Linked DNA regions of Arabidopsis thaliana. The protein of the gene in region 2 interacts with the protein of the main gene of each other region in a pairwise test. Each region holds a gene or a part of one and is shown on either strand. Other genes may lie near its edges.

What was found. The genes of interacting proteins can lie anywhere in the genome.
Region 1: the proteins of IND (region 2) and AT5G27690 interact in binary tests that used the Arabidopsis thaliana proteins (3 or more experiments, as listed by UniProt).
Region 3: the proteins of IND (region 2) and AT2G32840 interact in a two-hybrid assay, tested with the Arabidopsis thaliana proteins (2 studies listed by BioGRID).

Annotation. Positions count from the first base shown.
Region 1 is NC_003076.8:9,800,049-9,807,828, forward strand, and holds AT5G27690 (Heavy metal transport/detoxification superfamily protein), read left to right. Parts: upstream 1-3,598; 5' UTR 3,599-3,747; coding exon 3,748-3,837; intron 3,838-3,936; coding exon 3,937-4,012; intron 4,013-4,095; coding exon 4,096-4,988; 3' UTR 4,989-5,218; downstream 5,219-7,780. Other genes in the region: AT5G27700 (Ribosomal protein S21e), read right to left, coding at 7,493-7,558, 7,710-7,780. UniProt on the Arabidopsis thaliana protein: Heavy-metal-binding protein.
Region 2 is NC_003075.7:39,731-47,394, forward strand, and holds IND (basic helix-loop-helix (bHLH) DNA-binding superfamily protein), read right to left. Parts: upstream 3,468-7,664; coding exon 2,871-3,467; 3' UTR 1,935-2,870; downstream 1-1,934. Other genes in the region: GAE3 (UDP-D-glucuronate 4-epimerase 3), read right to left, coding at 1-264. UniProt on the Arabidopsis thaliana protein: Transcription regulator required for seed dispersal. Involved in the differentiation of all three cell types required for fruit dehiscence. Acts as the key regulator in a network including SHP and ALC that controls specification of the valve margin.
Region 3 is NC_003071.7:13,930,277-13,938,657, forward strand, and holds AT2G32840 (proline-rich family protein), read right to left. Parts: upstream 4,674-8,381; 5' UTR 4,561-4,673; coding exon 4,006-4,560; intron 3,763-4,005; coding exon 3,710-3,762; intron 3,620-3,709; coding exon 3,580-3,619; intron 3,483-3,579; coding exon 3,405-3,482; intron 3,302-3,404; coding exon 3,188-3,301; coding exon of another isoform or gene 3,152-3,187; exon of another isoform or gene 3,095-3,151; coding exon 3,015-3,094; intron 2,919-3,014; coding exon 2,825-2,918; 3' UTR 2,563-2,824; downstream 1-2,562. Other genes in the region: RALFL16 (RALF-like 16), read right to left, coding at 890-1,177; AT2G32850 (Protein kinase superfamily protein), read right to left, coding at 5,172-5,558, 5,655-6,319, 6,398-6,491, 6,571-6,753, 6,843-6,893, 6,979-7,144, 7,235-7,701.

The sequences.
Region 1 (7,780 bases), on a different chromosome or scaffold from region 2:
AAGGACTATAATGCAAAATACACATTTTAAAACCTTCATATTTGAAGTATACTCTTGGAGAAGAAACTACTCATACTTTATATTTGAAATTTACATACTCTATATACGAAGTATCTCTTGGAGATGCTTTCAATTAGTATATCTCTAAAAGTTATTTACTTGTCATGTAGCAATAGTGATTATCTGTGAAAATGATTTACATGTAAAATGATATGTTTTCAGGTATCCAATAAAATTATATATTTAACCTCGTATAATTGTAAAATTTAAATCTGTTTATAAATCTTAGGGGGTGAACCCAAGTATTTTTCATAAAATTATGTCTCTCATACATACAATTTTAAATTTCTACTTCACATTTATTTTGTTGAAAATTATATTTATTTAATAAACTTAAACAAAATCAATTCATATTATGTTCGTACTTTTTTATTTCAAATTACAAATTTAACTTGTTCTTTGATCAAAGAAACCATCATATGATTTTCCAGCTATTTTAAATTACAAATTTAGTTTGTTTTTTGTACCGACTCATAGAAATAATTTTAGATATTGGTTTCTTAATCACAGAACAAGTTATATTTGTAAAGTAAAATAAAAACTACACAAGATTTTTTTTTTAAGATATGGAAGTTTTGAAGTTCACAAGGAAGAGAAAAGTTAAAACCTTTCTTACAAAAAAAATCATGGTATTTAAACCTATTTTTAACATGATATATGAATGATAAATATATAGATGCATGCATTATGCATAACATAACTATGCAAAACATGAGCAAAACATATGCATATGAAAAAACTTTTATATGCAAATCACATCACCTAAAACATGTTTAGCATTGTGAACATCATGGAATTCATTCATTATGTAGAGAAATAAAGAAAAAAGCTTATTAGAGATTATACATATTTTAAGGATATCAACTAGTCTATTAGAACATAATATTACTGCCATGAATGGATGGAAGTAAGGCATATTCACTCCAAATTGCTGCATTTCCCTATGTCGCTAGAATCAACCATATGGAAAACTTTTCCACACTTTTCCACATTTGTTTTAACAAGCGTGTCAAATGAGATTCTCAACTAAAACAAAGACTGATTATTCAAACTCACCACAAAGGTAAAGAGATGATGTGCTTAGATTGTGATTGTAACGAGGCAGCACAAAATTCACACGAACAAGGTTCTCATGGCCAATGAATGATTGAACAAAAGTTAATGTTGTGAAGGCGATTGCCGTCATAACCAAAACCTTAACTACATACACAACAACAATTATAAAAGGATCTTTTGAGCTATTGGTCATACTCATATTCTTTGATTAAAGAAACCGTTATATAATTTTCCAGCTGTTTTAAATTACAAATTTAGTTTGTTTTTTGTTCCGACTCATAGAAATAATTTTAGTTATTGGTTTCTTAATCACAGAACAAGTTAAACTTGTAAATTAAAATAAAAACTACACAAGATTTCTTTAAAAAAAAAAAAAGATATGGAAGTTTTGAAGTTCACAAGGAAGAAAGAAGGTAAATCTTTTTTACAAAAAAAAACATGGTTTAAAGTTTAAAATATGTTGGAATGTATTCATGGTTTCACATAGTCTAAATTAAAATGATACAATATAGAGGAATTGTTAGAAATGCTTCTTTTATATTTCTCTTTTTAAAAATACTTTTTTCTAGCTATTCTTTTAGTTTATATTTTTCGATGACCAAAGGTTATAAATTTTACAAGTTTTTCTAAAAAAAATAGAAGTGTAAAAGTTTTGCTAAGTTTTGACGGTCTTAAGTGATTTTAGTTTTGGGCTTTTGTATATAAAAGAGTAAAATATAAAAATCAAAAATCAATATTATACAATTACAATTTAATTACATTAGCTAACTAAACTGTATAAACATTCATTATCTATACAATAGTATCTCTTTTTTTAAATTATATATATATATATATATATATTGCTTCAATATAAGTATCTGAAACTTTAATACACATTATTACATAATATCATTATGTACTTTTGTTATCATCAATATGTTTTCAACTATACACCTCCTAAATTTAAATCACAACCTAGAGATGTTGTGGTGGGTAAAAAAGCCCAGCCCGACCTGAACCCGAAATAAACCCGCCCACCAAAAACCCAACTTTAGAAAACTCAGATGGGTTTTTTATTTAGTGGGTAAACCCCGAAAAAACCCGATTGTTCCGAAATATATTTTGCTTATAAATATATTTTAAATTATATTTATTTTCTGTATTACATATATATTTGATGGGAAAAAGGTTGAAATGTTAAATTGCGTTTTTTGGCGGAAAAATGTTAAATTGTGTTTTTGGCGGGAAAAATGTCAAATCCTTTTCTTGGCCGGAAATGTTGAATGTCATTTTTGGCCGAAAAATATTGAATATCTTTTTTGGTGTGAAAATGTTAAATTCCGTTTTTGATCGGAAAATGTGAAATCTTCTTGGCGGGAAATTGTTGAATGTCTTTTTTGGCGGGAAAATGTTAAATTGCGTTTTTGGCGGGAAAATATGAAATCATTTTTGGCGGAAAATGTTGAATCGCGTTTTGGCGGGAAAATGTTGAATTGCGTTTTTGACGGGAAAATGTTGAATATCGTTTTTGGCGCGAAAATGTTGAATGTCTTTTTTGGCGGGAAAATGTTGAATGTTTTTTTTGGCGGTAAACTGTTAAATCGCGGTTTAGGGGAAAAAATGTGAAATCTTTTTTTACAAGAAAATGTTGATTCACTTGAAAAAGGACTTAAAAAAACCCGTGGGTACCCATAACCCAATGAGATAAACCCATATGAGTTTTATTTATTTGGATACCCAGTGGGTTTTAACCCATCATTAACATCTCTATCACAGCCTTTTTTTCTTTTTATAAAATATATTGCACTGTGATAATTTTAAAATACGTCTGTTATAAAAGATACAAACACACATACAAATACACTTCATATAAATACTAAAAAAAAAAAAATCCTCAGTGTAGCGAGAGTCCGATCCTAGTTACAATTATTAGACTACTGAAATGCTATGATATTATATTGTTACCAAACTTCGAATATCCACTTTAATAACAGTTATAAAAATTGTATTATCGTAATGTGTTATCAATACTTATATTTTTTATAGTGTAAGAATAGTGTAGGAAAATACTTGTTTATATTGGAAGTCAAAATTAAATAAAAATGACATAAACGATACTATGAGAAGAAATCAAACTGAGTAAAATGGGCATAATCCAACTATTTTGTGAGCCGATACATATGACAATTTTCGATCGCTGAATCATGGTTTGGAAATATGTTTGATTACTACTCTCTCTTTCTCGGTCAAATTAACATCCGTAAGAGAGAGAAAATTATTCAAACCCCTAGGTTTATGGTGTACTTCGAACCTAGCTAGACTGGGTATTTTGACAATTTCAGTGTCCTAAAATATCTTCTAATAGTAAGAAAATGAAAATGATGGCAAAGAAAAATCGAAAATTTCATGTTTTGACAAAAAAGAAAAAAAAAAAAACTCTTTTTAATCCTAACTAAGTAAATATTAATGTTTTGAGAACTGAGCATTTTATAATCTTTTCCAAAAAGGCAACTATTAGAGAATATTATCTGCTGAAGAAGTCCCACAAAAAAAAAAAAGATATAGAAGCCATGACTTCGTTACTATATTACACATGAAAGTTGCATCAATTCCCTCTCCCTCTTCTTCATCTTCCTCTTTCTCTCCATTATGGATTTAGGAACAGAGATAAAATCAGACACAAGACAAGAAGAACAGAGACATGTTTTCGAAGATTACCCTGAACCTCTTAGATACACCGTAAGTATCACTTTTACATAGTAATCAATTTCTTCTTCATATATAACTATCATCTTCTTTTCTCAATACATATATTTCTTCGTCTTCTTTTTATTGTAGACATGGGTTTTGCGAGTTTCTATCCATTGTGAAGGATGCAAGAGAAAAATCAAGAAAATATTGAGCAAAATCGATGGTAATATATAAACTAAATCTAACGTTTTATTCTTTTTCGATATTGATTAACTAATTATGAGTATTTATATGATTTTATTTTAGGTGTATATACAACAAATATCGACGTGAAGCAACAAAAAGTAACGGTGATCGGAAACGTAGAGCCGGAGATTTTAATCAAGAAGATCATGAAAGCCGGTAGACACGCCGAGCTATGGCCAACGTCAATGGAGAACAACATTAACAACGATTGTAACTATCAGAAGAAACCAAAGAAAGATAACGAAGAAACTAGTGGAGATGAAGACGACGACGAAAACAACAACAACAACAACGGCGGAGGTGACGTCGGTGGTGGAGGTGGTGGTGGAGGAGGAAACTTTGATCAGGTTAAACAAGTTGTTACGTTTGTAAACGGTCAACTTCAACCACAAGGAGATGGAGCTCCGAAGAAGAAGAAGAAAAAGAAAAAGAAGAAGAAAAGCTTAGGGAACACGACGGTGGTAATGGAAGGAGGCGGCGGCGGCGGTGGCGGTGGTGGTCCTCCGCAAAACGATGGACCGCCAGAGACAGTGATATACTCAGCTCCACAAGATCATCACATTATACACGGACCACCTCCTCATCTACATCATCATCAGCAGCAGAATCATCCGTATCCAACGGTTCACAGTCCTCCACGTCATCATCCACAACAAATGTACGGGCCGGGTCCGGGACTGCCTCCTCCTTCGTTTTATCATACTCAGCCTCAAACGGCGCCGTCTTATACGGTGAGTTACAACACGGTGCATGGGCCAATTAATAACGGTGGGAATGAGACGGCGTCGTATTACACGGCTCCTCCTTCTCATCCGACGTCATATTATTCTTATGAGTACGTGGACACTGGCTACGAATCTCCACCGCCCGAATTTTATTCGTATAGATCTCAACCGTCGGAATCGTTTGAGTCACTAAGCGAAGGCAATCCAAACTCTTGTTGCGTTATGTGATTTTGGAAGTTTTTTTTTACTGCTTTTAAGAATCAAATTGACATAATTGGCCTTGGAATGGCATCTTGTAAGTGTTATTAGAGGGGTATTTCGTAAACAATCAACAAAGAACGATATTAGTAAGTAATTTAATCCAACATAAAAATTTATGTATTTCGTAATTTAGCTATCTTTTGGTAAATGAAATGCGAAAATGTACTTCTTTAATGGAAAATTCAGCTATTCATGGGCTTATTCTTTCTTTTTCTTATAATGGTGATTTTTATAATTATTTTTTATTTTCGTCTATTAGATTCGTATAATATAAGCGGTTTATATTATACAAATCTAATACGCGATAATAAAAAATAATTATAAAAATCAACATTATAAGAAAAAAAAAAGCATAATGATTAGGAAATATAAATTGTTAACATATATTGATAGATTTAAAATGACATGATTGCAACAACAAAAAAATTGTAGTATGATTTAAGTATACATTATGATCTACGAAATTTGTAATACCTAAGAAAACATACGGTTTTCATATAAACCAATACCCTATACGGAAGTGACGTGGTGAAGTAGTGTACTATTTTCGAATATCATTTTTTGGGTGCAAAATTTAGAATAACATTTGAGGAGAATAATTGGACTTGGAGAGGAATAAATCTTTTTCCGAGAGAAATAAAAAGAGAGATTTTTGGTGAAAGGGAATAAGAATAATTTGAAAAGGAAGATAAATATGAAGAGAAGGCATATTTAGAAAGCATATTTAATGACAAAGAATATGTAAATAGTGTCCACAGGGAATCGAATTGTTAAATTGGTCTTACATGTTTTAATGTTATACAAACTATATTATATATTGTACTTTTTCCCTAATAAACAACTAACGTGTGAAACTAAAACCGTTAATTACCTATATATACACATGATGTAAACATGTCATTGATACTTTAATTCTTGAATGGTTAAAAGAGAACCGACCAAGATTGAGAATCTGATTCTAGTTAGTAAAACCAATCCACGATAACACATATAGATGTGAAAAGAAAAAAGTTTAAAATTATGACATTATGTCATCACTTAAAGTTATCGTGTGATGGCATAAGGCTGGAAAAAATTGTATGACTATGATGGCATAAACACAAACTAGATTACATTATAGATTATGGTATAAATTGTTCGTGTTTCAAAGAATAGTTATCGTTGTTATAATCAATATTCATTTAATCACATGCATTGAATACTTGCACATATATAACGGTCAATTTTTGTAGTTTTTTTTTAAGTTTATCTAACCACATTTAGTTAGTGTCCGTAAACTAAACTATAAGTAAATTTCTAATCCCCAATGTTTTTCAGTAGTGATACTATTTAGTGTCCGTAAACTAAATTGTATATTGTTTGATGCAACATATTAATGTTGGCATGTCTCTTCAGAGATTCTTTTTAGTAGAAGTTTCATGTTTCTTTCGTAGTAAAAGATTGACATTTTTTGACCTAGATTTATTGACTGTTATAATTGTGTTTGACCAAAGTGTGGAAAGACAAACAAAAGATTTGGAGTTGATGTTGATGTTGTATATGTGATGTTAAACATTAGGAGGCTGAGACCAAGCAGGGGAAATGTTAATATTTACTAGCATTAGTTAACGGGAGTTCAGTACCCATTTGCGGGTTAGGATCGAGTTTTCGGATTTAGAGATATAGAAATCGTTTGGGTAATTCTAGATTTTGCGTTTGGATAGGGTTCGGATTCGAATTACTCGAAGTTCCCAAATATCGTTTTTTATAACCAAATATATCCAAACTACTCGAAAGTACAAAAATATCTAAAAACCTTGAATATTTTTATCCAAATTAAATACCCAAAAACATCTTAAATATCCGAAAATCCTAATATTCTGACACTAAGATTATTACAAATATAAATATAAATAATATATGATTACTATGTATTTAAATTGTGAATTGTTCGGTTATCCGTTCGAATCGGGATGGTTCGGATTTTTGAGTTTGGAAGGATTTTGGGTTCGGTTTCAGATCGGATATTATGCCCCACCCCTACTGTTGACCCATATGAGGTATTGGGTTTTGTAACACTTGTAATTTTTCTTTCTATATTATTATTAAGTTTTGGTACATTTGTGTTTGCCCAAACAAAAAGTAGTACATACGTTTCAGTAATTGTATAGTGTTCAAAAGGTAAAGAAGAAGAAAAAAAGGTGTATTGTAATTTGTAAATATGAATTAAAGTATCTTCCCAAAATGATAATTAAGGGGGTAATAACGCTTATTCATTCCGATTCGAACTCTAAAGACTAACACCTCAGAATGATAAAAAGGTCGAGAAACTGGAGATACTATATCGAACTGGTGAAAAATTAGAAGACATGGTGCACAAAAGCATTTAAGTTAAGTTCCACGACCCAAAGCCAAAATCATTACTTCAGTATGAGGCAATCTTTCGGAAAAAAAAAAACAAGATTCGACAAAAAACAAGACAGATTAAGCTCTTAGTTTTGTTTGGCTTCAACCTTCTTCTTCTGCCACAACCTGTCGACACCACTGTCAGCGTCTCCCTGCAATCGTGTACATCAATAGTTAATTAACCTATGAAGATAAGTAGAAATTCAAAGGGTTGGTTGTTCAACTCTTCTTATGATACACACAAAACAAATCAACTCTCTTCTGACTCAATTATGGACAAAGCATTGAGAAATTGTTACAAACCTGAGCACGGACAAAACCGCAGAGAGCAAAGGTTGTGAACTGTCCGGTGTACAAGCCATTAGCATCTAAAT
Region 2 (7,664 bases):
GCGGGTACGGAGACGGGCGGAGGATCTGACCCGTTTCTCCCAAGCGGGTCCACCCCAGGAGTAGGTACGAAGAGAACGGCGAGAAGGATCGGCGGGATTGGAGGAAACGGGAGATCGGTAGAAGAAGATGAAGATCAAACCAACGAAGACGAGAGACCAAAAGGCGAGCTTGGCGACGGAGGATTGCCACCGCGTACGGTGGAAGTAGGGCTTGAACTTGCCAGGCGTCGAAGGAATATCATCAAGATGCGACATTTGCTTCATATTTACCTCGACAGAGAGAATCTTCTTCTTCTTCTTCTTTGAGGTTTCTTTTTTTTCTTGGATTGGTTTTGGTTTTGGTTTGTTTGGTGAGAGCGTTTATAGGCTCTCCGAATAATAAGGGAAGATCATCAAATTGAAAAGATTTTTGTTTCTCTATTTTTGGGCCTTCTTTATTTCTTTTTCTCTCGAAAATGCACACACACAGAGAAGAAGAAGATGGTCAAAGAGCAAGAAGAGATTATGAGGATTTAAGGGATAGTCAAAGCTTAATTAATCACTCTAGTCTCTATCTCTTACATTTAATTTTCTACAGATTTAGTTTCACTCTTGATTAATTTAGTTATTATAGGTAGATTAACTTTACTTTTATTATTAATGAAGCTTTCATCATCCTTATGGATCTTACTTTAGGGTTCTTATGGCAACAAATGTACTTTCATCGAATTATCATTCAAATACTGATTCATCAAACTCGATGCACTTACTTATTACAAAATTACGCACACAAATACATGTTTAGGTGCTGCCCAAGATCGTCACGTGCAAACTCTAACTAGTAACATGTTTAGGGATTAATTAAATCAAATTTGCAACTTAATACCAAGGCACATTTATCCATGGGGTACAAAAAAGCAAAGAGTAATCTTCAAGGAATAATATAATAACAACACGCATCTACTAGACCGCATATATAATAGTAATATCCATCAAAGCTCTATTTTATTCTTCAAATTCACTTATTGTAAGATAAAAACATAACGATATTGATTTATAGTGACTAGTGAGTGAGTCCGGGTAAATGTATGTGGAAAGGCACACTTGAACAACGTAGAAAATGTCTTTATGATGTGTAAAAGAGAGCTTAGCTTAACAAAAGTCTTTAGCGGCTGCAATAACCGTATCCACGGTGAGTCCAAATTTCCTGTAGAGCACATTGGCTGGTGCACTTGCTCCAAACTGTCTACACCGATGGCTTTTCTTTTGGAGCCAACCATCTTCTCCCACCCAAAGGTCGACCCTGCTTCAATGCTCAGTCTTGCTGAAACCTCTCAAGGTAACACACTTTCTTTGTATTCTTCTCTTTGTTCATCAAACAGCTCCCAACTCACCAATGACACTACTCTCACTGCTTTTCTTTCTTCTCTTAGCTTCTCTCCAGCCTTTGCAGCTATCTCTAGCTCCGACCCTGTCCCCATTAGGATTACGTCTAGTTTTGTCACCTGTGGAGTTGTCTGAGATTACATATCCCCCCTTCACCACTACCTCGACCGAAGTTCCAGGTAGATGAGGCAGCTTTTGTCTGGACAAAGCCAGGATCGAAGGCCTCTTTCTGTTCTCTACAGCAACTTTGGAGGCACGCGCAGTCAAAGATATCGGAAGGAGACCCATATCACTATGGGCCCAAAAGCCCATATTGGAAATGTCCGTTTAATCACGAGTTATTTGTTAGCTTTATATGACACCGTTGGAGGAAAAAGGAAATGGAAGTAAAAAATCACAAGAACAATGGTATTTGTATGGTTTGAGATTTATCTATATGTATAAACTTAAGACTGGATATGCATGGGTTGCATGTTTTTTATTTACGTACTATTTAGGAATATTATGATAAATGTAGAGGTTTAATTTCAAAGATCATTATTATAAACATCTTTTTTTTTTTTTTTTTTGAATATCAGGAGGTTCTGGGCCGAAGCCCGTAATTCCTTTAGGCCCGAAACCACATCATGTAATATTAGTTTCGTTCCAAGTGTCACTCGAACTTGCGATCTCTCAGCTTCGCCTAGGGTCTTTTTGGATATGCTTAATTCAAAATAACTACCACATCTCTTGATTGTTCATCTTCCTTTCAATTTAACTTGGCGAAATATAGTGGACGTGTGGTGTTTGAAACGGATACACTCCTCGATTGACCTTATCAAGATGGTAACCAAAATCACGATGATCACTTCTGGCCGGCGTTCCATTGAGACAGAGAGTTATCTCAGTTTGCTTCTTTTTAATTTTTAGTTTAATTTTCTTTCTAAATTTCTCTAAAATATGTTTGTAATAATCAGAATGCTTGTCCGTCGAAATCTCGACCCTTTTCTTCTTAAATTTTTCATTATTCTCCAATATGGGAACCCTCTTGAGGATGGTTTCTTCTTTGGTGGATGATTTTTAATGTAGGTGCGTAATAATGGTTGTTTTCTTTTTTGCTAATCCATATATAACCTACACTCATCAGATTCAGATAATTGATACAAATTATAGTCAAATTAAAAAAGTATTTGATATATATTCTCCATATATATATATATATATCGAAAATTAATTTGCAGGCCAAAGCTTTCATACAGAATGATCAAACCCTAATTAACAATCAATATCTTCTTTTTTTTGTTTACAATCAATATCTTCTTTTTATTCACCAATTATTTATGCATATGATATCAAGATAAAGAAACTTGGTACACAATTGTACATCATATATCTTAGAATAATAATATTAAAACACCCATACAATCTTGGATCGAATCTTTATGCATCTATATATAATATATCAACATGAAAAAGGTTGAGAGGATGACACCAAATGTCTAGCTAGCGAGCTTCTGTGTAGTTCATCAGGGTTGGGAGTTGTGGTAATAACAAAGGTAAGAGGGGTTAGCCATAGGAGCTCCAATCTGAGAGTGAGGCTGAAGAATCCTCACCTGCCGTTTCAAGAACTTGGTGTAACGTATGGCTTCGTCGAGCATGGAAGCTGTGTCCATCTTCGCACCACCAGGCACGATCCTCTTGAGAATTCGGATCTTCTCGCTGATCCTTTCCCGACGCCGACGAGCAACCACCGTCTGAGGATCGTCGCTTATCCTTACGTTACGGCGGTTCGGCTTAGGGACCGTGGCAGGGTCGATGTCTACGGGCTGCATGACGGCGATCATGTACTGCATCTCCTTCATCGCATCCATGTCTTCATCGTACTCTTCGTCTTCGTCCAAGTGAATTAGGGTTTCGGGAGGTGGATCTAACATGAGATGGTGAGGATCATTGAGAAAAGCTGCGTGTTCTTGTGTGAGAAGATCATTAGCTTTGTTCCAATCCATGAGGAGATGGTGAGGCTGAGGCTCCATCATGCTTCTTTTGGGGCTGTGGTTGGATCTGCTTTTGGACGAGACACAAGAGTCGCACACTCCTTTCTTTTTATACATACCATTTTCCATTTTCATCTTTTCTTATTTCTCAATATATATATTCTTTTTCCAGAAATATACACATATGTATTTACTGATATATATCTTTGACTCGATTAATTAACCGAATGCTTACATGCATGTCTCTTATTATTTACTTCATATGCCTCATTTTTTTTTTATAGGATATATGTCTCATTTTATGATATATTTTACCTTTTCCTTTCTGTTTCAATTAATTAGATGTTTTGTAAATTTATATGTAAATTTTAAGTGTATTTAATATTTTGTGATTATTTATATTCTTTAATAGTATTGTTTTATGAATGGTTGCATGGTTTTAAATTAATTGATATTTGGTAGTGAAAAAAAACTAACTTCTTAATATGTGCGTTTTAATCAAAAAAAAAACCTTACAAAATAACCATTATTTTTTATGACTCAACTTATTTCCTATGTAAAATGTCCTTGAATTTAAAAAATGGAACTTTTGAAAAGGCTTTTGAACCCAACCAGAACATTAGTATTTATATAGGTTATGTATACAAAATTTTCCAAGATTCAAACCTGCTTATATGTTGTCGTGTCCCGTCGTCTGTATTTTTCGGGACTAAATTATAATTTTGCAAATAGTTAAATCTTCAAGTATTTCCAGAAGTATAGTTACCCAAGCTAATATACTGATTCCCCAATATACATCAACATTACAGTTCTTATTTATGTAAAAAATTACTAAATTTAACCCACATTATACGATCAAAGAAATTGATTAGATTCATAATATCAGATTTTTTACACAAACATTAGTAGAACTACCACCAGTATTTTTTCATTTTTTTTATCAACTAGACATATATTAAAAGATAACTATATGATTGACTGTCTAATTGGGAGGAGATGAGTTTACAAAAGTAACTTTAGAAAACAAGAAAAGAGAGAAACGACCTAAACAATCCGTCTTAAAATTCCATAAATAAAAAACATAAGAAATCAAGAAAAAGAAAAATAAAGAAGAGAACATTCCAAACTAGTTTAGTAGGTTGGAGAAAGCTGACCACCAAAAAAAATTTAATCTGACAAAACTATTTTTTTGAATATATATTAGTTATTGTGAAAATAAAAACGTGATGACATCATAGTGACATGGGCCTGCATGAACAATTTAATCAGATATGTTTTTTTTTACCGCAATCAGATATGTTATTACATACATATCAATATTACTTCATTTTATCTTAAATTATATAGCTCATGTTTAATTCTGGAATTGTTTTCATAACTAAATTTTTTTCGATAAAGTTGTCATTTTAAAATATTTCCTAGAGTTCTAATTAAGTTTAGTGTTGTGTGAATGGAAGAATTCGACACATAACTTGCCAAAAATCCGTGCATGTGATTAATTTGGCAAAGGAAATTAAAGAAAATATCATTAGATCATGATTAAAGCTAAGTTTTGCAGCAAAATTATATATATTGCCGTTTAAAGACTCAATATATTTCTACCTTTTTCGCTAACAAATTTCATGGACTCATTTGTGCTAGTTTATATAAACCTTGTTATAACCATTTAAATTCGTATACGTACGTACGGAGCAATACAAGAAACACATATAAAGCAAAATCCTATAGACCACAAAAGATAGAAGAAATAGTGTGTGGTCAAAATCATGGTTACTCAAAAAGCAAGATCAAGAACAAGGGATTAAATTTCTAGGGTTTTTCCTAAGGACGAAGAAGGAGAGAGACTTTACGAAATTAGGGCAAAAAAGGAGCGTTGCACTTTGGTTTGGATATCATTGCCATAAGGAAGCATAAGTCGCTCTTGTAATAGTTACTCAACACATGTCTCCATTTTTAGTGCTCATTATTTTGACCTAATTTTCTTCTCTCTCTCCTCTTTTGACAACTCCTATACACCAAAATAGGCAATTTAACATCATTGTTCTTCTATTTCTTGTCTTTCTTCTAAACCCCACGGTTTCTTCGACATTTTCTTACAAGCCCTTTCAACGGCCTTGATTTGATCTTAGCTAGGAAATATGAGCTGGATACGATAAATGACTTCTTCAACGTTCTCTTTATGATTTTTGGTGTCAATTTCTAGTTCTTAAGTTGTTTTATTTGACGATTTAACAGGATCTCTCCCCCATAACTCATTACACGAAGTGGGGACGGCTTCTTTCGACATTAAGGTATTGCCCATTGTTTAAATTCTCAAGTGGATAAGTAAACTTATAATCACCACTAATTATATATATAAGTATATTACTAATTAATCGGTCTAATTAAGATACCGTCTAAATGTCGTTGTCCACATGAAATTTCTATATGTTGCGTTCATTTCATAGATTTAAAATCGACAAAGCTAGAAGATAAATTTTCAAAATGAGACCTCACATCTTCTTTTCACATTGCCTTTAATGAGTTCAAGACAAAATACCCCGTTTCATGCATTAATGTTCATACTTGTTATATTCATCAACAATATACCAGTACTATGCAACATCAATTAATTATAAGCTTCCTACTTTCGTCCTTTTTATTAGTTAATACAACACTTGCAATTGGAGTAACTCTTACAACGAGAGAATGTATAATCTTATAATAAAAATTTAATATGATGAGATATTTTTTTTGCCTACGGTGATATTAACATAAGGTTTTTTCTTTTACAAAATTAGAATGTTCAGTTCAAACAAAAGAAAAGGATGGATATGGACATATGGTATTTGCATTATTCTAGTAGTCTTCAAAAGCTTTAAGGGTCAACAACCGGATAGTAGATGGATATGTATTTGATACAAAGAAATAATATATTACTATGACGATTTCCCAAATCTTCTATTTTCAAAAGAATGAGGATGAGACTTTTCTTTTTGGAAATAACATATATTCCGTTAATAATATTTAACTTTGCTCACTAATTATCATTTTGTTACTTCTAAAGCAAAAATCTTCGGCGAGAAAATCGAAACAACCAAACGATTTGGATTCCAAATTTCCAAACAGAATCATGCGTGTATTTTTACTCGCTCGCAACGATTTGGATTACACACTTTCCAAAACGATAATTTTTTAATTGAATTAACCCCTAATTAAAATTAATAACCAATCAGATTAAGATACCATTTACAACCAAATCTTCTATTTTCCAAAATTTTAGTATGATTTTTTTTTGGAAATAAATAAATATTCCCTATCCCATTAGTGGCCATCAGTTGTCATTTTTTGTTTCTCCAAAATCATAATCTTCGGCGACAAACAATGATTAGATCTTCATTTTTACGATCATGTTAGTGATTTAATGGACTTGTTAGTGATTTTGTCTTCATTTTATATTATGTTAGTGATTTTTATCGACTTGTTAGTGATATTTTTTTTCCATTTTTACGTGCATGTTAGTACTTTTTGAGGGGACGGGTAGAAATCACTAACATAAACGAAAAATGAAAAAAAGTTTACTAACAAGTCGGTTAAAATCACTAACATAAACGTAAAATACAGACACAATTACTAATAAGTCGATTAAAATTACTAACTTTAACGTAATAATGAATAAATAACTGTTTTTTGTTTCGATTTTTGTCATCAGAAATTATGATTTTCTATTCGATTTTTGTCGTCGGAGATTATGATTTTGTAGACGCAAAAATGAAAACTGATATACACTAAGCTACTAACAAGATTATAAAATTGTTTATATAATAATTTCCTTAAAACAAATCTAACTCAAAATAATGCATATTATAATTTTTAATAGTTATTTAAAGTATATATATAACTAACCGGAAAAATAACCGTATATAGTTTTACGGAAATTTACGATAAAAGATACAACCGAAGAAAATCAACCGCCAATATTAATGAAAAGTCACGACAAAAAGTAACCATTAATATTTTAATAAAAAATTGTGCTAAAAAATACAACGGATAGATAACAGTCAATAAGATAACAGAAAATAACGATAAAAAGACACTAACAAAAAAAGTGTCAATTAATATTTTAACGAAAAGTTGCGATGAAAAGACTCAACAAAAAAAATAACCATCAATATTATAACCGAAAGTTGCAATGAAGAGACACAACCGAGGAAAAATAACCATCAATATTATAACCGAAAGTTGCAATGAAGAGACACAACCGAGGAAAAATAACCATCAATATTTTTACAAAAAGTTGTGATAACAACACAAACAAAAAATAACCGATAATATTAACGAAACATT
Region 3 (8,381 bases), on a different chromosome or scaffold from region 2:
TTAAATATACAACGTAAAACTTTTATGAATACTACACCTCTTGCTGAGGTCGATTGCTTCTCTCACTTACCCTCTGGATTTCAATTTAACAATTTTAAGATATGGGAAAACGAGAGGATATATATATTAATTTTCTCTAGAATTTTGTATGACGGACTTGAATCAATAGTAGCAGTAGTAACTTAAATTTAACTCACACAACATTGCATTCCTCACCTAATGTCTAATGAACAATTTTCAATCAAATTAAATTGTAACAACTCAATGGATGAATTTTTGTAACTCATATAGATTTTTGTCTATGTGCTGAGTATATTGGATGGTAGGCTCTTCGAAGAGGAAGGAGGAAAGGAAGGTGACGTTAGCCGCAAGCAAATGTATGATTCGTCTATGTTGATGATTAGACAAATGCAAGCGCTCGGACAAGAATTCATTGAGTAATCTTAAAGGAAATATTAGGAATGTTCATAGAATTTATCTTTGTTGATTATGTTAAAACTTAAAGAGATTTTCGGTTCTATTAAGAATTCTTGGATGAAATTCATCTAAACCACAATTTCATTCATATGACAAACTAATTTGTCATCAAAAAATGTTTTTCCCCCTTTTATTGCTTAAGGCATATCTAGAGAAAGAGTAGTCACACATAATTTATTTTTTAATTAAAAAAAAATTATAAACAAATAAATAAATAATCTCAGGAAAAGCATAGAATACATAAAAATTTAAGACAACAATTAGTGACTTTACATAAAAACACAAATTAATAAAATATAATCTTTCACATTTTAATAGACTGATAATTAGGTATATGAATATATTCAAGCTACACGACGTATAAATACATGAATCTTTGTAGTATCAACGAAAGTAAATTAAAGATTAAATTTCAATGGAGATTAATAATGGGACTTTCATCGTCATCGACATTGAAGGATTCAGTATAACGAGCAGCATCACGAGCACACCTGGTAATTTTTTCACAACCTCTATGGTAATGGTTAACTGGTTGTTTGACACATGAATTGGGGTTTTTATAGCCACATGCCGGAATTCGGTCTCCTTTAATAGATCCGTACCCTAATGTTCTTGCTTCTCCACTTCCACAAAACAAAAACATTACAAGCATCATTGTAGCAAATAGAAAAACAATAGGACTCTTCTCGTATGCAACCATATTTTTTTTTGTTAATTTTCTTCTTAACTATTTTTGGGTTTAATTTGCTACAAGAATTAGTGAGTAATTATTGTATACATTGTTTCAGAAATTTATAATGAGACAAGAGTTGGTTAATAAAGTTATGTTGTTACATATGCCAGGGAATAATACATATTCATGGAGTTCATTTGTCATAAACATCTCTTTTTTTTGGGTTTGTTTTTTTAACTGTGATATTTCAAACAGATAAATCAAATTTTGGAAGGTTTGTCAATATGCCACTATGCCAGCAATGTTTTTTGTTACATAACAAAGTGTAACTAAAGACTTTTGGTATTTGTGTATTTTAAACGGTGAAAACTTGAAAAACAAAACTACAACATCTTAATCTTAAAGGTCAGTAAGCATTAATCTTCAAATTAGAAAAGAGTGAGTTGGAAAACAAGAACAAATTAAGCTTGTGGATGGGTCATGTTCGTCGTACTATATGGCCTCTTGTTTCATCCTAAAATCATATTTCGTTCGAAAAAATATATTTTAAAACAAAATTTGAGTAATTGATCTTATATGTAATAAAAATTGTCTACAAATATTAGAAAAATATTGTCCATAATAATTTGTATACTTCAAATTAATTTGTCCAGTTACTAGTTACCATTGTCTGCCTGAAAACAAAAATTGTCACCCTAGAATTTCTATAACATTTAGCTAGACATCTTGCCTAAAGGACTTCCGATTAACATTACTTAACATAAAACTTGATAAAGCTTCAGTTCCATGTCAGAAAAGTAGGAACGGTGGTGGTACAGCGGTGGAAGGTTGTGTGCTGCGGAGAAGCTTTACATTTGGACATAGAAGGAGGCTTTGGGGGATGTTTTCTTCGTCGTTGAGAGAGTGAGATCGACGTAGAACCATCGGCACAAGCTCCGGCTGAAAAGAAACAAGAGATGAGATGAGGAGAGAATGAATACTATGTTGGAGAGGAATAGAAGAGGAAGAGAAAGCCTCTCAATTTTTTGCTTATTTAGAGAGATGAAAAGAAAGAAGAAGATGTTAGCCACTATGGCATACTAGCTAGAAAAGACTTTGGGCAATATGGCATTTTCAGAACTACAGTGATGATAATATGGCTTCACTGTTGATAAAATCTTGTTTTAATGTCCATAGGAGTATTTGTGTCTTAGGAAGTCTTAGATTATGTAGTGATTTTAAGAGTTTTTGTGACATTTCGTATCATTTGGGAGTTGGAAACAAATAAGATAAAAGAAAATTCAAACACATGACTAAATGTGTTCGTGCTTCCAAGGATGGTCGATCAATCTCTGAAATTATGATCGTCCGACCACATGATGATCGATCCAGCGTTCAAAACATGGTCGACCCACCATGACCGAATACTATATTGAAAATTTTACTTGTCCAAGAACTACTAGGTGTTCTTGAAAAAAAAAAAAGATAAGAGCTATATAAGTTAACCATCTCAGAAAATCTTGAGATTGTTGATTAGTTTAGAATCATCTAATACGAGTGTATGACGAAAATTCAGAGAAAATCTTTCTTATATTACACACAGACATAAGACATAACTCTGGCTCTAAGATAATTTATGTCATTTCTAAATCAACTGCAAGTATATTCACACCGAAGTCCCTAACTTTAAAATCATTACTCGTTCCTGCATTGCTCTCCAAAGGGTGGCAGAAGAAGAGCCAATCTTGCCTTGTACCTCGCGATTCTCTTTAACCGTTCTTCTCTCAATCTGCAAACAAAACAAACCACACAATTTTGTTCAAAACAAAAAATATTCAATCTTCAACCATCGAACTTAGCTTTGATGATATGTTGTGGGACTCACCGAGCGCGGACCTTCTTAGCTCGGTCTATATGTCTTTTCAAAAGATCAGATTCTGACAAATGTTTCACAGATTCCTCGTCCTGAAGCTCATCAAGAGAGTTGAAGTAAATAATCAAACTTAGCTTTACCCTTCACAATTACCATTTTAGAAAGAAATCAGAGAAACACGAAACCTCTTTGTCTTCTTCGCAAATTGCTTCTTCAACTAAATCTTTTGGCAAACTTGTCTCCGTCTTGTCCACAGGTAAAGGCTTTGGCAAACATGTCATCATATCAATTCGCTGCGGCTGTAAACAACGTCATTAATCTTCCAAAGATATCAAGAATAGATATACAAAAATCCAAGTGTTGCATTATACTACAAAGCAGAAATAAGAAATGGATACGAACCTTAATTCCCTCATGAGCACCATTTCTCAACCAAGATCGACACAGCGAGTATAAAGAAGCTCCCTCGGTTATTCTAACCTGCAGAACAAATAAAAAGTATTTAAAATTCCTCAAATGGCGAAGCAAGCGGTTTCGAACGATAATGCAAAACCAAAAAACAAGGATAAAACTATACCTTTCTTTTTCTAACGAGGACCAGAGCATCATCCCGGCTCCTAAACACCATGGAAACGAAACAGAGACATTATTAAGTTTCTAGAGTAGTTTCTAATTAACAAAGCATAATGGCAAAGAAGATAAAGTACCTGGCCTTCTTATGCCCACTGTTGTCTAGAATTGAAGTTGGAGAAGGAGTAGCCTAACAATCAAAAATCCAAAATTTACAAAATGTAACCTCACACAAATATCTAACAGAAGTTTCAACCTTTCCTAATTCATTAGAGATTGCTATTCGAATTCTACAATCACCAAAGCAAATAATCTTCACTTCAACATACACATTTTCACTAACTAGCACAAGCTACAAAAAAAACACTTGACAAAACTATGGAATTAAACAAAAAGATTCAAACTTGTTTTGGTAACGAAAACGATAACTAACCCGAGGTTGCAAAAAATGAGGAACTCCTTTCATATGACCGGAACCAAGTTGAGGAGATTGTTGATTCTGAGGATGTGCAGCTCTCATGAACTGATTCATTGGATCCAAATTCGACACGAATTGGCCATGGTGGTATCCGTAAACTGGCCCTCGAGGAGTATACCCACCTGGACTAGGACTACCAACTGGATCAGCGACGGAATTGGAATTCTGTCTAACGGGTCGGGTCGGAAACCCTCGACCCGAAGAACCAAACGGGTATATCAGACTAGACGGGTCTGGGTGAGGAGGCTGATGAGGCGAATTAGTAACGGAATTCGAACGCCTAATCGGTAAAGGGTTAGTGTAGATATTTTGATGAGGATGATGACGATGAAGCGGAGCTATGGCTCTGTACGACGAAGCTGGTGTTTGAGGTTGAGGTTGAGACGACGGCGTTATGACTGTGTTAGGTTGTGTCACCGGAGATTCAGATGCGGTGACGATTGGAGTCGATACTGCTACAGAGACGGAAGGATTTGGATTTGGATTGGGATTGGGATCGGGAGTAGACATTGTTCCGGCGGATTTTGATTTCTGAGAAATTTGGGGAAAATCAAGTTAAAGACAACGATTCAAAATTTGGTAGCTTTTTCTTTGATTTTCAGGACACGAACTCTTTTTAAGTTCCTTCTAACTAACTAAACTAGGGCTCGGTATTTAATGTTTTGGTTCGGTTTTTTACTTTTTTCTACTCGGGTCCGGTTCAATGTGAGATTTACATTAACGAAAATTAATCCAGGATTTTAAAATGCTGATTTAGTTACGGCTGAAATCTTTTTGGGTAACATTTAAACCATAATGCAGCCATCGTATGGTTGGGTTCGGTATTAAATGTGACCTTAGTTCTAAGTTTCACAGAAAGAAGTGTAAGCTGTCTGAATCTTGAATTATTTATTTTTCCAATAATAATCCATAAGCTGAGATATCTGGCCACAGCTCAGAGAATGTGTAAAGTTTAAGACTCTACATAAAACATAATGGATATGGGTGGGGTATATTTAGCAGCAGCACAAAAACAGGGGATGATCATCATCTACAAAAAGATTCAAGATTCTGTAATGGCAGCAACATGAAGCTGTTGTTGTTGCATGAGGAAGAAATAGCAATGCGCATCTGAGTGAGTTTTAGAAGCCGGCCCATCCAGCAGGTTGAGCTGTTTTCTGGTTTTCTCTCATCTTTGAGTTCCCATATCTCTGTGAAGTGCTGTTTCCAGAGCCCATAGATCTTTGTGTTCCAGATGCAGAAGTAGCAGCTGCAGACGTTGCAGCGGCTCTAAAGGATTCTGTCTCGAAACCCCATGGCTCAAAACCTTGAGTACCTGCAGCAGAAGCTGGTTTACTTCTGGTTCTCACAGACTGATTAATCGTATTATTGTTACCCTTTGATGCAGATTCCATCACGGGTTTCGCTTCATCACTAAAAGGTTGCCATGAATTTGTATCAGAGCTGCCAGTTGACCAGTTAGATCTGTCCTGTTGAAGTTCCCACATTGTTCCTTCCATCTTATCTCTCTGTTTCATCAAGAACATTAGAATTCTAAGATATACATTGATGAAGACTTTTGTATGGGTGTCTAAGCTTAGATGAACAAGAACCAAGAATAATACCGATGGAGTTGATGACATGGAATGCATCCCTGGAGAGGGTTGATTTTGTGAAGAGTCTCTGCTCGGTGACGGTGAGGCACTTTTAGAGGCAAGTGTTTGTTTGAGATCCTGCAACTCTTGCCTTTGCGATCTGCAGATAGCAGAAAGCTTTTCAAACTTAGCAGTTATTTCTGCCTTCTCTGATTTTGTTTGCTTCAACTCGTCTTTTAACCTCTGTATCTCAGCTTCCAATGCCTCTTCTTTGCCAGGTTTATTACCATTATCGAACTTTGTGGTATCAAAGTCAGCAACAAACGAGTTGAAGGCATCATCCTTGGACACTCTTGTCATGTTATTGGCTGCAGCAGGAGTTGTATTCTTCTGAGAAATCGTAGTTTCAAGATCTTTATTTCTTTGAATACCACGAGCCTCTCCTCTCACAGGACTTGGTTTTTTGGGTTGATGACTATCCACACGAACTCTTTCAGATTTAGATGTGTTACTGTTTGGTTCATCAAATTTAGGCATGTTTTTGTTATCTTCTGATACAACTGAGGTTTTAGCATGCTGAGTCGCCCAAAAGGCACCGAGCGGTCCTCCACTATCTGATTCTCCAGAAGATGGTGGCGGCGGTGGCGGACTTCTACGAGGTGCTGGAGAAGGTTTAGTTGCTGATTTTGATGAGCCTGTCAAAATTCATAAGGATCAAAAGAAATCACATCTTTCTTTGAGAAGCTATCCAAAATAGGTTTTATTCACTATACCATCATGGACTCCAGTAGATTGCATTTCAGGTGGTCGATCCGGTAATGATTTCTGTAAATTAGCAGGAAGCTGCTCATTGACACGAAACCAAATCTGTAGATGGACATGTTGTTAGAGACATTTTACATTTCCTCAACTGAGAAGAAACAATGAGTAAAAATTGACTTTTAACCTGTGTAATATCTGGTCGTTCATCGGGTGAAGCTTGGAGCATTTCTTTGATGAGATCCGTAATAAATACACTGTATTTAGGCGATTCTGGAATACGATAATTCCCGTTTAAGATTTGCAGCTTTGATTCTCCATCAAATGCATTCTTGAAATAGCATATCCGAAACAAGAGACATCCAAGAGCCTATTTTTTTTTAAAAACAAACCTTTACTTTCAAGTTTCAACCAAATAGATTAGCAATCTGGAGAGATTGAAAAAGTGTCATCACATACCCATATATCGACCTTCTCGCTTATCATCTCCCTTCGAAAGAGATCCCACATCTATTGCCAATAAAGACATAAATCAAACATTTTTTCACCACTTTTAAAACTCTTATAATCTGCATAGGTGCATATCCAGTCAAACCTCAGGAGCTCTATATGTTGGTGTTGTGTATTTTCTAATATTATCTTCTTCAATTCCCATCTCTTCTGCTCTTTCAAAAATCTTGTGATTTGTCGAAACGCTTCCAAAATCACACAATTTCCATTGTCCATCTGAGCTCAATAGAAGATTCTCAGCCTTCAAGTCTCTGTCACGATTAGCAACACCAATACAGTATCAATTCACATCGCTTGCTAATGTAAAAACGAAACGAAATCTAATAATACAACATGTATACCTGTGAGCAATGCGTGGGGATTGACAATGCATTGCAAAGACAGCATTACACACATCTCTAAAAATCGTAAGAGCTTGTTTCTCTTCAAAGTAACCAGCACCTCTATTCTCAAGCACATCCACAAGAGATTTACCACAAAAATCCATAGCCAAAAGAGCTTCTTTTTTATTCCTCCCCATATCCAAGATACCATGTGCGTAGAGCGTGACAACATTTGGATGTCCCTTGAGGGATTTCAGAACCGAGATCTCTTTCATTACGAGTTCAAGTGACTCCTCGTCATTGCATATCATGTGCTTCAAAGCATATTGCTTTGACGCGTGATTTACATCTTGAGCTAAGTAAACACTGGAGAAACCTCCTTCCGCAATGACATTTCTAACTTGAACTTTCAGATTTCCTATCTCGAGAAATCGACCTTCGAGACCCGCAGGTTCTTTTTGAGCAAAAGGTTTAAACTTCCACATGTTTGAATCAGTGGAAGTAATAAGAATGCTGCATAAACATAAAATCTGTTACAAAACCAAACAAACTTCGGAGAACAAGATATCATGATCAATAGGAGATGCCAAGATCCTAATGAGATATTCAAATACACAGAACAAAAACAAAGATAATGATAAGCACCTAATCTGCTACACAATTGCTCAGTTAAGAAACCAATCAAACAGATCTATTCTTATATGACCAATAAAGGGAGCTAAAAGCTGAATCCTTGATCAGAGAAACCAGATCAACACACAATAAAAACATAAGAACCTAAGGAGAGACTATTGAAGAGTCTTATAACTCGAACTAGATCCGATTAAGAATCTGGCGACTATGGTCAGATATGGTATCAAAGTACAAGACGTTATCATCAACCAAAAACTTCCATGTAAAGCTACAGAATTCAGCTCAAACTCACTTCACACTATACCTACAATCAGATTCTCCTCCACAAAGTTTTTACAAGAGAAGAACACTAGCGAGTCCAACGATTAACAGCTCCGATGAACACAAAATCTAAAGATTCCCAGATAGATAATCGAGATCTTAACCCACAAAGCTCGGGAGAAACAGAGAATCGGCAGATCAATCAAATCCAATCGAAAGAGACAATAAAAATTATACCTTTGCAAAAACCCAGATGCTGAGGAGTGCCAAT